3 linked regions of the Macaca fascicularis genome follow. The main gene of each other region encodes a partner of the protein of the gene in region 2 in a complex. Links are inferred from orthologs where the notes say so. Each region holds a gene or a part of one and is shown on either strand. Other genes may lie near its edges.

Region 1 (3,656 bases), on a different chromosome or scaffold from region 2:
ATGTAAGCTATCAATACTAAAAGGTGTTTGAACATACATCCACATTAGCAGTGGATAATAAGGGAGAAAATAGGTTAAAATCTTTTATAAATCTTCTGAGCTGTAACATTCATGTTAACAATAATTTTGTCTGTTGCTATATTAAAGTTCTTAATACTAGGAAACATGTTTTGAAGTTAAATAATAGCACCTTTTTCTATCTTGGTTTTGAGTATATAAAGAAATTATTATTGTTTCTTACTTATCAGTATGTTAAAATTTTGAATCAAACATTTTTTTAAAAAGCCACTGAATGCAATTTTATTATAAATAATGCAAGTATGCTTTTTGTGTGCAGTTTCAAAATTTGGTAAGATAATTACAGAACATGATACTGACATGGAGAAGGAAAGGGTATCAGGATATAAAAATTCAGTACATGGTAATAAAAATAATCTAAAATTTAAATAGAAATAAAAATATATTAATAAACTGAAAATATTAGTGATTCAAAGTTAATTTAAAATTGCAAGTCTAAAATGTCTTCTATGATAACAGGCCTCTGAAAAAATGATTGGGATGAAATTAAAAAACAAGTTTGTGGGTGATTTATAAATAGAATCCACATGGCATGTGAATTAATTATTATTGCTCTTTCTTTCTGGCCACATTGTTGGGTTTTGGTTTACTGCACCATCACATTCGATATTGACAGAAAACAACATTACTAGCTTATTTCCAACATGTGGCCCAGTTTACTAAAAGAAAAAAAAAGTAAAAATTTGGGCATATTTTAAGACCGAGTTAAAGCTCTTGGGCCCAATTTATTTCTAAAGTCACTCTGAGAACATTGCACTGTGTTTTGCTGGAACAAAATCAGGACCTTTTGCATTGGTGTGACGAGGCAATGACGAATGTTAGGCTAAGAATGGGAATCTGTCCCCATGAGTTTCCTCTCACCCCACCTCATTTCCTCTGTCTTCCGTTTTCTCTTGTACATACTTTCACACACATCTCATCCCAAGCTATTCTAAGGCACTTTGCTTAGAAGATTTAAAAATTAGGCAGGAACGCACAAAGCTAAGAGGTTCTTACAGTCTCAAAAAGCAGTTTTGCCTCTAAGTGAAAGAAAAGCACCACGTCAAGCACACTTTTCTATTGGCTATTTACAAAAATAATACAAAAATTAGTAATAAGCTTTACAGGTAGCCGTTAAATGTACTAATCTGTATGATTTTGAAAAATAGTGTTTTAACTACAGCATTATACATACGCTAGAAACCATTTTAACTACAGCATGGGTGAGAGAGGGTGCTACCTGCCCCCTTGTCATGTGGACACCGCACCAGGCAGTTCACAGTCTCTATTATGAGGTCACTGGCATCTCTCCATTGTAAAGCTATGAACACAGGGCCTGCCCTCGTTTAATCGTCTACATGCAGTGTATGTAGCTAAATATTTATAGATGACAAAACCAAACAGAGTTTAAGCTACAATAGTGAAAGAAGAAGATTTTAATAATCCTGAAAAATTTGTAGATAGTATTTTCTTCACAGGCTATGTGAATGGCAGATTCAAAGAAATCTTTTGGGGTAGCCTTTCAAACATTCTATTTCTCTTTGTGAGGTTTGATCTTATCTGAATGTAAAGGGTGTAATAATTTTCTTTTAAAAAGTATTATATTTTAGATTTGGCTCACACATGTGCCAGTTTATTACATGCTGCTTGTTTGTAACATGTTGGTTACATATTGCAGAATGCTGAGGTTTGGGCTTCTAGTGAAAGGAGTGTAATGATTTTCAAAAACAGCCTTGCTCTTTCAGTTACTCCCTCCTGATCATTTAAATGTTTCTAGTGTCCAAAAAATACAACTAAACTGCTCTCTCATTTGCATCTAATTACAGTCTGATCAATAGTGTGATAATATTAATTAAAAAGTTGTTTTAAAGGATTTTAAAATTTCAAATTGAGTAATTTAAGCTTCATTTAAAAGTTCTGTTTTACAGTGACTTATTCTTCCTTTGTATCAGATTCACATTGATTTAAAAATAAATCTCTTAAATAGAAATTCCGAGTGAGCTCATCTTAAGCCTAAGGGTTGTGTGAATATCCTGGAAGTTATTAAGAGCTATGTTGAAGTGCTAACCGTAAAAAAGTAAGTGCTTTCACAACGAGGCTTTCTTAATTCCCACTGATTTTCTTTCCATGCTGTAAACAGCTCATAAAATGTCATATGTAGCTATGAGTGTTAAAATAATTACACTTAATATTTTAATAGTGTGCTGTGCAAATACATAGTTTTTTGTTTTGTTTTGACAAATGTTTCATTTTGTTTTAATGACTTCGGTCCAATATAAAGAAAATGAAATACAGTGAATAGTTCTTCTTTCAAGATGAGCTGTATTTATTACTGGAACGGAAGTTGTCATATCCGTGATCATTAGCTTTGAACTTTAAGCACGACTGCTTTTCCTCCAAGGACTGTTTTTCTTCAAATGACTGGCACCAGCAGCATAAGCATGACTGTACAAAACAAAGTAACTCATTATATGTTAACATCAGTCACCTTTCTCAACTCTTCCTCCTCTCCAGGGTTCTGACTTTCTTTGCATAATTAGGAGTTCTTGGGCCCTGTCTTTCGGTGCTCTTTTATTTTCCCTCTTAAAAGAATATACTCACAGAATTAGCATATGATAATTTTTGACTAAAACATGCAGAGAAGAAAAAAACTACATAGTTAAGATTTCTCATCAAGAGAAAGCCACTTTTAATTGATACTTACTCTTGGTTATTTGATAAATATTCTTAATATTTGATAAACATATAATTCAAGACTTTTCCCCATGAAAACAGAAATATGTGCACATACATGAAATAAATAAATTATACACATGTATATGTGCATGTGCTTGAGAATGTGAGTATATTTTAGTGAGACTGTACTATATGTATACTCCATAACCTTGTAGATACTTTCACACACATCTCATCCCAAGTTATTCTAAGCCACTTTGCTGAGGAGATTTAACCTGCTTTTTCTCACTTGACAGTGACATAAATATCTTTTCATGTCAATTAATTTAATACTGCTTTCTTATTTTTTCAGCCATGTATTCTCATGTCTCTTTTCAATATTGTTAAACAATAAGGTTATATAGTACAAAAGCATCTCAGTTTTCTTCATCCAATTTTTTTCTTGAAATTTTTTAAATATAAAATTTTGTTCATTCTGTTTGTCTTCTGTTCATTCTATATGTAAAAGAAAATGGGAAGTCCACGATTTTATATTCTATAAAATGAAGGTGTTGATACTGACGGAAGTTCTCTTCCAGCTCTAAAATTTGAGTTATGAGTGGGCAAAGAATGATATAGGCTGACTTAGTGTTTACACGGGAGCTACGTTCTCAGCTTTCCAGTAATGAAATACCAATGACAAATGGATGATTTTCGTATTAGGGGAGGGGATATTTTATTTCATGTTAGATTGTTGAAGGAGTGAATGAATAGAAGGATGATAAAATGCAAGTAGCTGAAGAAGGAATTTTATGTATTTCACATTGAACAGCACATCACTGTTATACAAAAAAGGTAGAAAGAGGTAAAACCTAAACTATTTTTTTGTTTACCTTATTATTCTCATAGTCCATGTAAAAAAGGAATTAATTTAGTTACAATAA
Region 2 (2,332 bases):
GTACTCAATGTTCCTTAAAAAACAAACTCCTTAATGTGAGAAAATAAAAAGCCATTGGAAACCTCTACTTGCTCTGAGCAGGCCATTTTCTAAACGCAACTCTGGTGTGTAACTTTGTATAATTAGGTATGTTTTGGGGGGTTGTCTTGCCATTACTTCCTTCAGTCCATTACTACGGAGAAAGCATCTCTCACCACACCATCAGCTTAAACTGTTGAATCCTGCCTAATAGCCTGAGCCAAGTTAATGGATGAAGTCCCTGGAGAGTTTTTAGGTGAAGGGGAAGCAGGAGGCTGCTACCCAAGAGAAGACAGAGGTATTAAAGCTGCTTTTTTGTTTTGTGTTTTTACCTCAATGCAATGTAAAATCAACATTTAAGAGGTAGGTAAAATTCTTTCTATAATTAGCTCAGACTGTAATATCCTTTTAATTGTCACTTTTCTACAAAACCATCTTTAACCATTTGCCTTTATAATTCTTAATCACTTTGGCCCACTCCTTAGAAATTTCAGTAATGATTCAAAATCAGTACAGTAAGGAAAAAAAAATATTTATTTTCTAAAGTCATTACCTTGACAGGCAAAACAAAGCATGTTCTCAATTTCATTTAGAAATACATATTTTAAAAATACATAGACCAATATGGCCTGCCCAAACAGATATTTAACATGGTAAATATAAGGAATAAATTGTTTGAATATAAATATCTATAAAAAAATAAGTACGTCAAAATTCAATCCAACCTCTTTCATTAGCCGGTTATATAAAGGAAAATAATTTTACTGCTTTAAAGCATAACAAACACTTACTTTTCAATATATTTCATAAACCACCCTATGCCATTGTGTCTCCAAAAATCAAGGATAGGGAATCTCCTGATTTAATGATCTTTTTTTTTCTTATGGATCAGAGCTAGTAGATTACCATGAAAATATTATATCTACTGCTGACACATTAGACCAGACTTCTACGAGGCTAGGATTTAGTATGGGGGATGGAGAAAGGGGAAGCAGGGGTGGGAAGAGTTTGGGGAGGCAATAATTAAATGTGGGAATACTTCTGCCAGAGTGCAATATAGGTGAGGTAGACTCATATTCTTGAAACATATCCTGATTTACGGCAGTAACAGTTTCATTCAGTTTTGCGTTTTACAAATTTAAACAAAAGTCTTTTTTTTTTTTCTTTTTACTTGCATGTTTGTCTTTTGAGTATGTTTTCAATTTGTGCATTCCTTAGAAAATCTTTGCGTGGACTTTGGAGTTTCTCCCTGAAATGTGCCAGGCGCCTGAGTCAGACACAAACACTCCCTTAGGACCTTTGTCAGAAACTCCACCCTGGTGTGGAATCTCCTTCCTCTTTCTGGAGGATGCCACCCGAATTCGAATGTCACTGTGCATTTCTGCTTTCTGAGAGGTCCATGGTCATCCCCAGATGAAAGAAGAGACCAAAGCAGTTACCACCGATGCAAGCCAATGAAGACAGTTTGGGGGAACTCCTTAACCTTTCTTGGAATGTTTTGAACAAGGACGCTGGTCCTTTGCCAGTCAGGAACAAGCAGAGAGGATGCTCCTGCTCTGATCCCAGCCAGGGTGGAGAGTGCAGAATCGGCCACAGGGCTCTCCGTGGAGGCTATGGCTTCAGACAGGCCCCGAAGGTCTGTCACCAATGTGCTCGGTTGTGGGTCACATAATGCTCTCTGGAGGGCTTGGCTTTCAGCCTGGGATCATGAAAAGATGATTTGACACTGTTTCTCATGGTCTCCGTCCTAATAAAGCAAGATAAGAGAAAACAAATGTTATCTTTAAAAAATCACCCTTTGGCAAGATAAACATCTAAAATCAGAATCTGGCACAAACAAAACCTGAATCTGGCTGTGAACTTTCACCACCCACCGCAACTCTTTGATAAAACCTCAAGTGATATCTATTACCATTGTAAAAATAAAGCTGGCCCCTATGCTTAGAATGGGAGAGAGGGGTCATATGGTCAAGTCTAAGGGGAATTGGGCAGTAAATACAAGTTTTAAATAAACTAGAGGTGTTCTGGTTTCTTCTGTAGCCCCAACCCAACCTTCACCACAATGCAACCCTGCCTTGAGGAACTCAGCTAGGTTTTGAATAGTTATGGCCATCTTAATAAATTGACAGTGATTTAGTTGAGAAGAGAGAAAAAGAAAAAAGAAAAGAGGCATACAGTAGGCCCAGAGCAAATACTTTATGGCAATTATTTTAAAATATATATATACATATATTTGCAGGCCTAATGTTTTCTTTTTACAGGAGAAGTACAGAGGGAAGAACTGTAATGTTGATTTAATAGTTGGCATAATAAA
Region 3 (3,756 bases), on a different chromosome or scaffold from region 2:
TTATAAGGAAACCGGAGTCTTGAAGAAGTATTTAGGTCAAGGTTTCAAAGCCAAGAAATGGCAAGACACGTAATTTTGCTTATAGGACTTGACTCACTCTGATTAAATGGGAAAAATATCAATTTTTCAAGGTTAGAGGCAGGCCATGTAATTTTCAGCTCTGATTAGACTTAATTATAAACAGTTTGCAGTTTTTTCCTGCTTCTTATAATCTGGAGTGAGTATCTGGCCAAAAATTGACAGACCTATGAAATGACACCATTTCTATTCCAAAGGGAAGACCAGGACTCCAAGAGAAAAGCTTCTTGTCATCCTCCTCTTTGGATCACAGAGACAGGGGGAGAAGAAATACTTTCATATCTTGTGCTGTTTAGTGACTAATGTCTTCCAGCTTCCCAAGTGAAACAGAACCTTCAATAACAGCTTTCTTAAAAATGAGAGAGAGAAGGCCTTTTCCAGAAATGGAATGGCTTTCTGCCAGTTCCAGTCGGCTGGGAACTGACCTGTGAAGACCTGGCTACGGTGGGTACTGCTCTACTCATCAGAGGTCCCGTGGTGCTTTGAACCTTAGCATGCTGGTCTGCTTGGTTAGATTATGGCAGGAAGTAAGGCCAACGCTGTGGGTTCTTAAGGCACGAGCCAGCTATCATTAAAACCCCCTTCCTTCCTCTTCCAACAATGACACCACCACAGAAATCATTTCTGATGACTTCTCTGTCAGCTCTCCACACATGGTAAGCTGCAAAACGAAGGGATACTTGGCAAAGGCATGTGGATGTCATATTATCATTGGGTGAAAGTACAAAATCAAATGAAAGAAGCCCATCAACTGCAGGTTCTTCCAAGGTGGGCTCGTAGTTCATTTCCAGGAATCTGAGTCAGGCTGTGCTTTGAATCATCAGTCATAATCAGTCACAGCGCTAGTGAAGCATCTCAGGTTCAGACCTGAAGGGCATGGTCTACAGATTCAGCATTCTTCCTGTTTGGGGTCTGAGAGTTTGGGGAGTGCAAAAACTATTATTAAGGAAGAGGACTGAATCCTTACGCTTACATTTTAACCATTTAACATATGAGACTTTCAGGATCAAAGTTCACCTGTAATTGGTAATTTGGAAATTCAGACCCTATCAAAATGGCATGAGTTTAGAGCATTCAATTTACAGAAATGACTGCCAAGGTGTTTCTCAATCAGCGAACACATAGACAACTACAGGTGGGGGAAAAAACAAGGAAACTAGGCACTTTTTACAAGTTTTCTGTGGGTTTGCTCTCCGGTTAAGAAATGAGCAACTCTCCTTAGAGACAACGCCTGACTTTAACGTGCCTCCCACCCCCAACTCTATCAGGGGAAAGCCATTAGGATGATGTAAACAGAGGGTGATTATCTAGAAGCAGCTCTTGTTTTCTGCACGTGCGAAGCAACAAGTGTCCTTTAAAGGCGAGCACAGAACAAAACACCCAGACCTTCACAGGCAGATTTCCAAAACTAGCTACACTGGGGGTTTTCCCAAACACCTCAGTCCCTCACACCGAGTGCCCTTGGCTACCCTTGGCATACCCAGACCCAGATGTGGGGGAGGAAAAGCAAGCGAGTAAGAAAAGGCTGTGGAACCAACTTCACAAGTAGGCGCTGGAGCAAGCCACAGAGCTCGGTGTTCCTCAAAGTTCTTGCATGCCTGGGGAAAAGGGTTCACCCAGGGAAAACCATTGGGCTTCCTCTTCCTAAAACTCCGAATCCTAAATCCTACACGTGGGGAGGTGAAGTTCCCCGAACCCTACACGTTCCCGGACCGCACCCCTCACAGAAGGCGCCCGCCTCCCCACGCGCCCTGGGGCAGGTGGGTGCCAGCCCCTGCTGCGACGGGTCGCCCAAGCTGCAGGGAGTTCGGGCCAGAACGTTCCCAGTTCTCGTCTTCCCCCGACCCAGGGGCCCACGCAGTGTATCCGCCATCCCCGCACCCGTCCCAGTCCTAGTCCCGATAAGAAGGACTTGCAACCAACCGTGGAGCTCGGCGGGCGCAGACAGCTGCCGGGTCCGCGAGGCGCCTGGGCCAGAGGAAGCCGGAGCCGGCAAGGGTGGGTGGCGCGGAGGGTGGCCGGTGTCCCGGGCTCCGGCGCGGCGGCGGCTCCGGCTGCACAGCTACCCCGGCTTCAGAAAACTTCCTGGGCACTGCTTCTCCGGGGGAGGTCTCGCTGGGACCCCAATTCCCCGCGACGACCGGGTGGGATGGATGAAGCCTCTCCACCTCCTCTCCACAATCGTCAGACCAGCGGGATGACTGTACGCGCGCGCGAGGGCTCGCACGGAAAAGAAAACTCCGGAGGAACACGCCTCCAGTCTGTCCTCCCCGTCTCCTCCCAAAGCTCCAGAACTTCCACTCCACTCTGGGACCGCAAGAGCGTCCTAACCTTCCAGCTATCCTGGGACACAGCCACCACTAAAAAGCACAAAGCTGCCGCCCCCTTCCAGGCCCCGAAGGGCAGGAGTCTTTTTTAACTATTTCCTTCCTGAAAGAAGAGGTGGGGGATGTGGAGGAGAGAGGGTAGAGTTTGACAGACAGGACTCAGAATTCCGAAAGGCCTTGCAGAGGAACCTATCCACTTAGTGCAGGCAGATTTGATTTGTGATGGAACAACTGGACCCAGAGCCAGGGCCCGCGGGTGGTTTCTTCTCCGTCTTCCCTGCCCTCTTTGCTTGGCTTGTGTGCTCCCTTTTAGGCTTGGAGGCCATTGAGGAGCCGAAGTGGACAGCAGTTTACTGGATCAGGTGGTTTGCTTCTATCTTGTCCCTTGTAGCCGGCATCCCACGGCTACAGACCTCCAACCCAGGGCGAAGAAGGAGCCTCAGGAGAGACGAACGAAGGTTCCAGTGTGTGGCTCCGTGAAACCTCAAGAAATTCAAACAATGAGGAAGCAGACCTTACAGAAAGTGGGTCTCAGTATCTTTATCATGGCAGAGACTTTATCCTAAATTGGGGGTGGGAGAGGAGATGAGGGACAAAGGCCACTGCCTGTGACATGTGAGTAAAAACTGGGGGCTCCTCAGGGAAGGTCTGCCTTGGAGTCCTTCAGTGCACTGCTAGAGTCAGCACATTGTAGAAATGTGAGGTTGGAGCACTGGTCACGTTGTATCCCATGCTGTTCCGGTTATCTGTTGCAGCTAAACAAATCACTATAAAATGTAGTGGCTTAAAACAACAACACTCATTTACTCTGTTTATCAGTCTGCAGTTTGGGCAGAGCCTGTCTGGGACGGCTCGTTTTTGCTCCATGTAACAGGGGCTAGAGGATCTACTTCCAAGATAGTTCACTTGCTTGGTGTTGAGTGTTAGTTTTTCTCCACGTGCGTCTCTCCACAGAGACTTGTGGAGACTTGTGGTTTGGGCTTCCTCACAGCATGGTGGCGGGGATCCAAGAGTGAATGTCCCCAGAGACAGAAAGTGGAAGCTGCCAGTTTCTTAAGGGCTGGGCCCAGAAATTGGCACTGTGTCATTTCTGCTCCATTCTATTAGTCGAGCAGTCGCAGATCCCAGATTGAAGGTGAGAATCTATAGAGCCCAACCCTCAATGTGAGGAGTGTCAAATAATTTAGGGACCATTTTGTAAAACCATCAAAGAGATCTACAGAACACTACCACTGAAAAAGGCCTTAATAGTCATCTAGTAGGGTTAGACTAGGTATTACCCTGTGCATTAATCTTACAGCTTCTTTATGAGGGAGAATTGGCCAATCAGAATAACTAATAGCTTTCATAA

What was found.
Region 1: the proteins of EDN1 (region 2) and EDNRB are in contact, whole or in part, in a cryo-EM structure (PDB 8XWP), measured with the Homo sapiens proteins. The link is inferred for Macaca fascicularis from reciprocal best matches to the Homo sapiens genes EDN1 and EDNRB. Residues at the interface, in NP_001403492.1 of Homo sapiens: Cys53, Ser54, Cys55, Ser56, Ser57, Leu58, Glu62, Cys63, Val64, Tyr65, Phe66, Cys67, His68, Leu69, Asp70, Ile71, Ile72, Trp73; in NP_000106.1 of Homo sapiens: Pro88, Pro89, Ile94, Glu95, Ile157, Asn158, Lys161, Glu165, Asp166, Trp167, Val177, Pro178, Gln181, Lys182, Val185, Phe240, Ile243, Met245, Tyr247, Leu252, Ile254, Leu256, Leu257, His258, Pro259, Lys270, Lys273, Leu277, Trp336, Leu339.
Region 3: the proteins of EDN1 (region 2) and EDNRA are in contact, whole or in part, in a cryo-EM structure (PDB 8HCQ), measured with the Homo sapiens proteins. The link is inferred for Macaca fascicularis from reciprocal best matches to the Homo sapiens genes EDN1 and EDNRA. Residues at the interface, in NP_001403492.1 of Homo sapiens: Cys53, Ser54, Leu58, Asp60, Lys61, Glu62, Cys63, Val64, Tyr65, Phe66, Cys67, His68, Leu69, Asp70, Ile71, Ile72, Trp73; in NP_001948.1 of Homo sapiens: Tyr68, Gln72, Thr73, Lys74, Tyr129, Asp133, Ile136, Asn137, Lys140, Leu141, Gly144, Arg145, Trp146, Gln165, Lys166, Val169, Glu220, Phe224, Val227, Phe229, Tyr231, His236, Lys237, Thr238, Cys239, Met240, Leu241, Asn242, Gln252, Lys255.

What each region holds. Positions count from the first base shown.
Region 1 is NC_088391.1:68,911,520-68,915,175, forward strand, and holds part of EDNRB (endothelin receptor type B), read right to left. Parts: intron 2,503-3,656; coding exon 2,368-2,502; 3' UTR 1-2,367. UniProt on the Homo sapiens protein: Non-specific receptor for endothelin 1, 2, and 3. Mediates its action by association with G proteins that activate a phosphatidylinositol-calcium second messenger system.
Region 2 is NC_088378.1:160,651,226-160,653,557, forward strand, and holds the end of EDN1 (endothelin-1), read right to left. Parts: intron 1,766-2,332; coding exon 1,660-1,765; 3' UTR 530-1,659; downstream 1-529. UniProt on the Homo sapiens protein: Endothelins are endothelium-derived vasoconstrictor peptides. Probable ligand for G-protein coupled receptors EDNRA and EDNRB which activates PTK2B, BCAR1, BCAR3 and, GTPases RAP1 and RHOA cascade in glomerular mesangial cells.
Region 3 is NC_088379.1:152,369,622-152,373,377, reverse strand, and holds the start of EDNRA (endothelin-1 receptor), read right to left. Parts: upstream 2,415-3,756; 5' UTR 2,002-2,414; intron 1-2,001. UniProt on the Homo sapiens protein: Receptor for endothelin-1. Mediates its action by association with G proteins that activate a phosphatidylinositol-calcium second messenger system. The rank order of binding affinities for ET-A is: ET1 > ET2 >> ET3.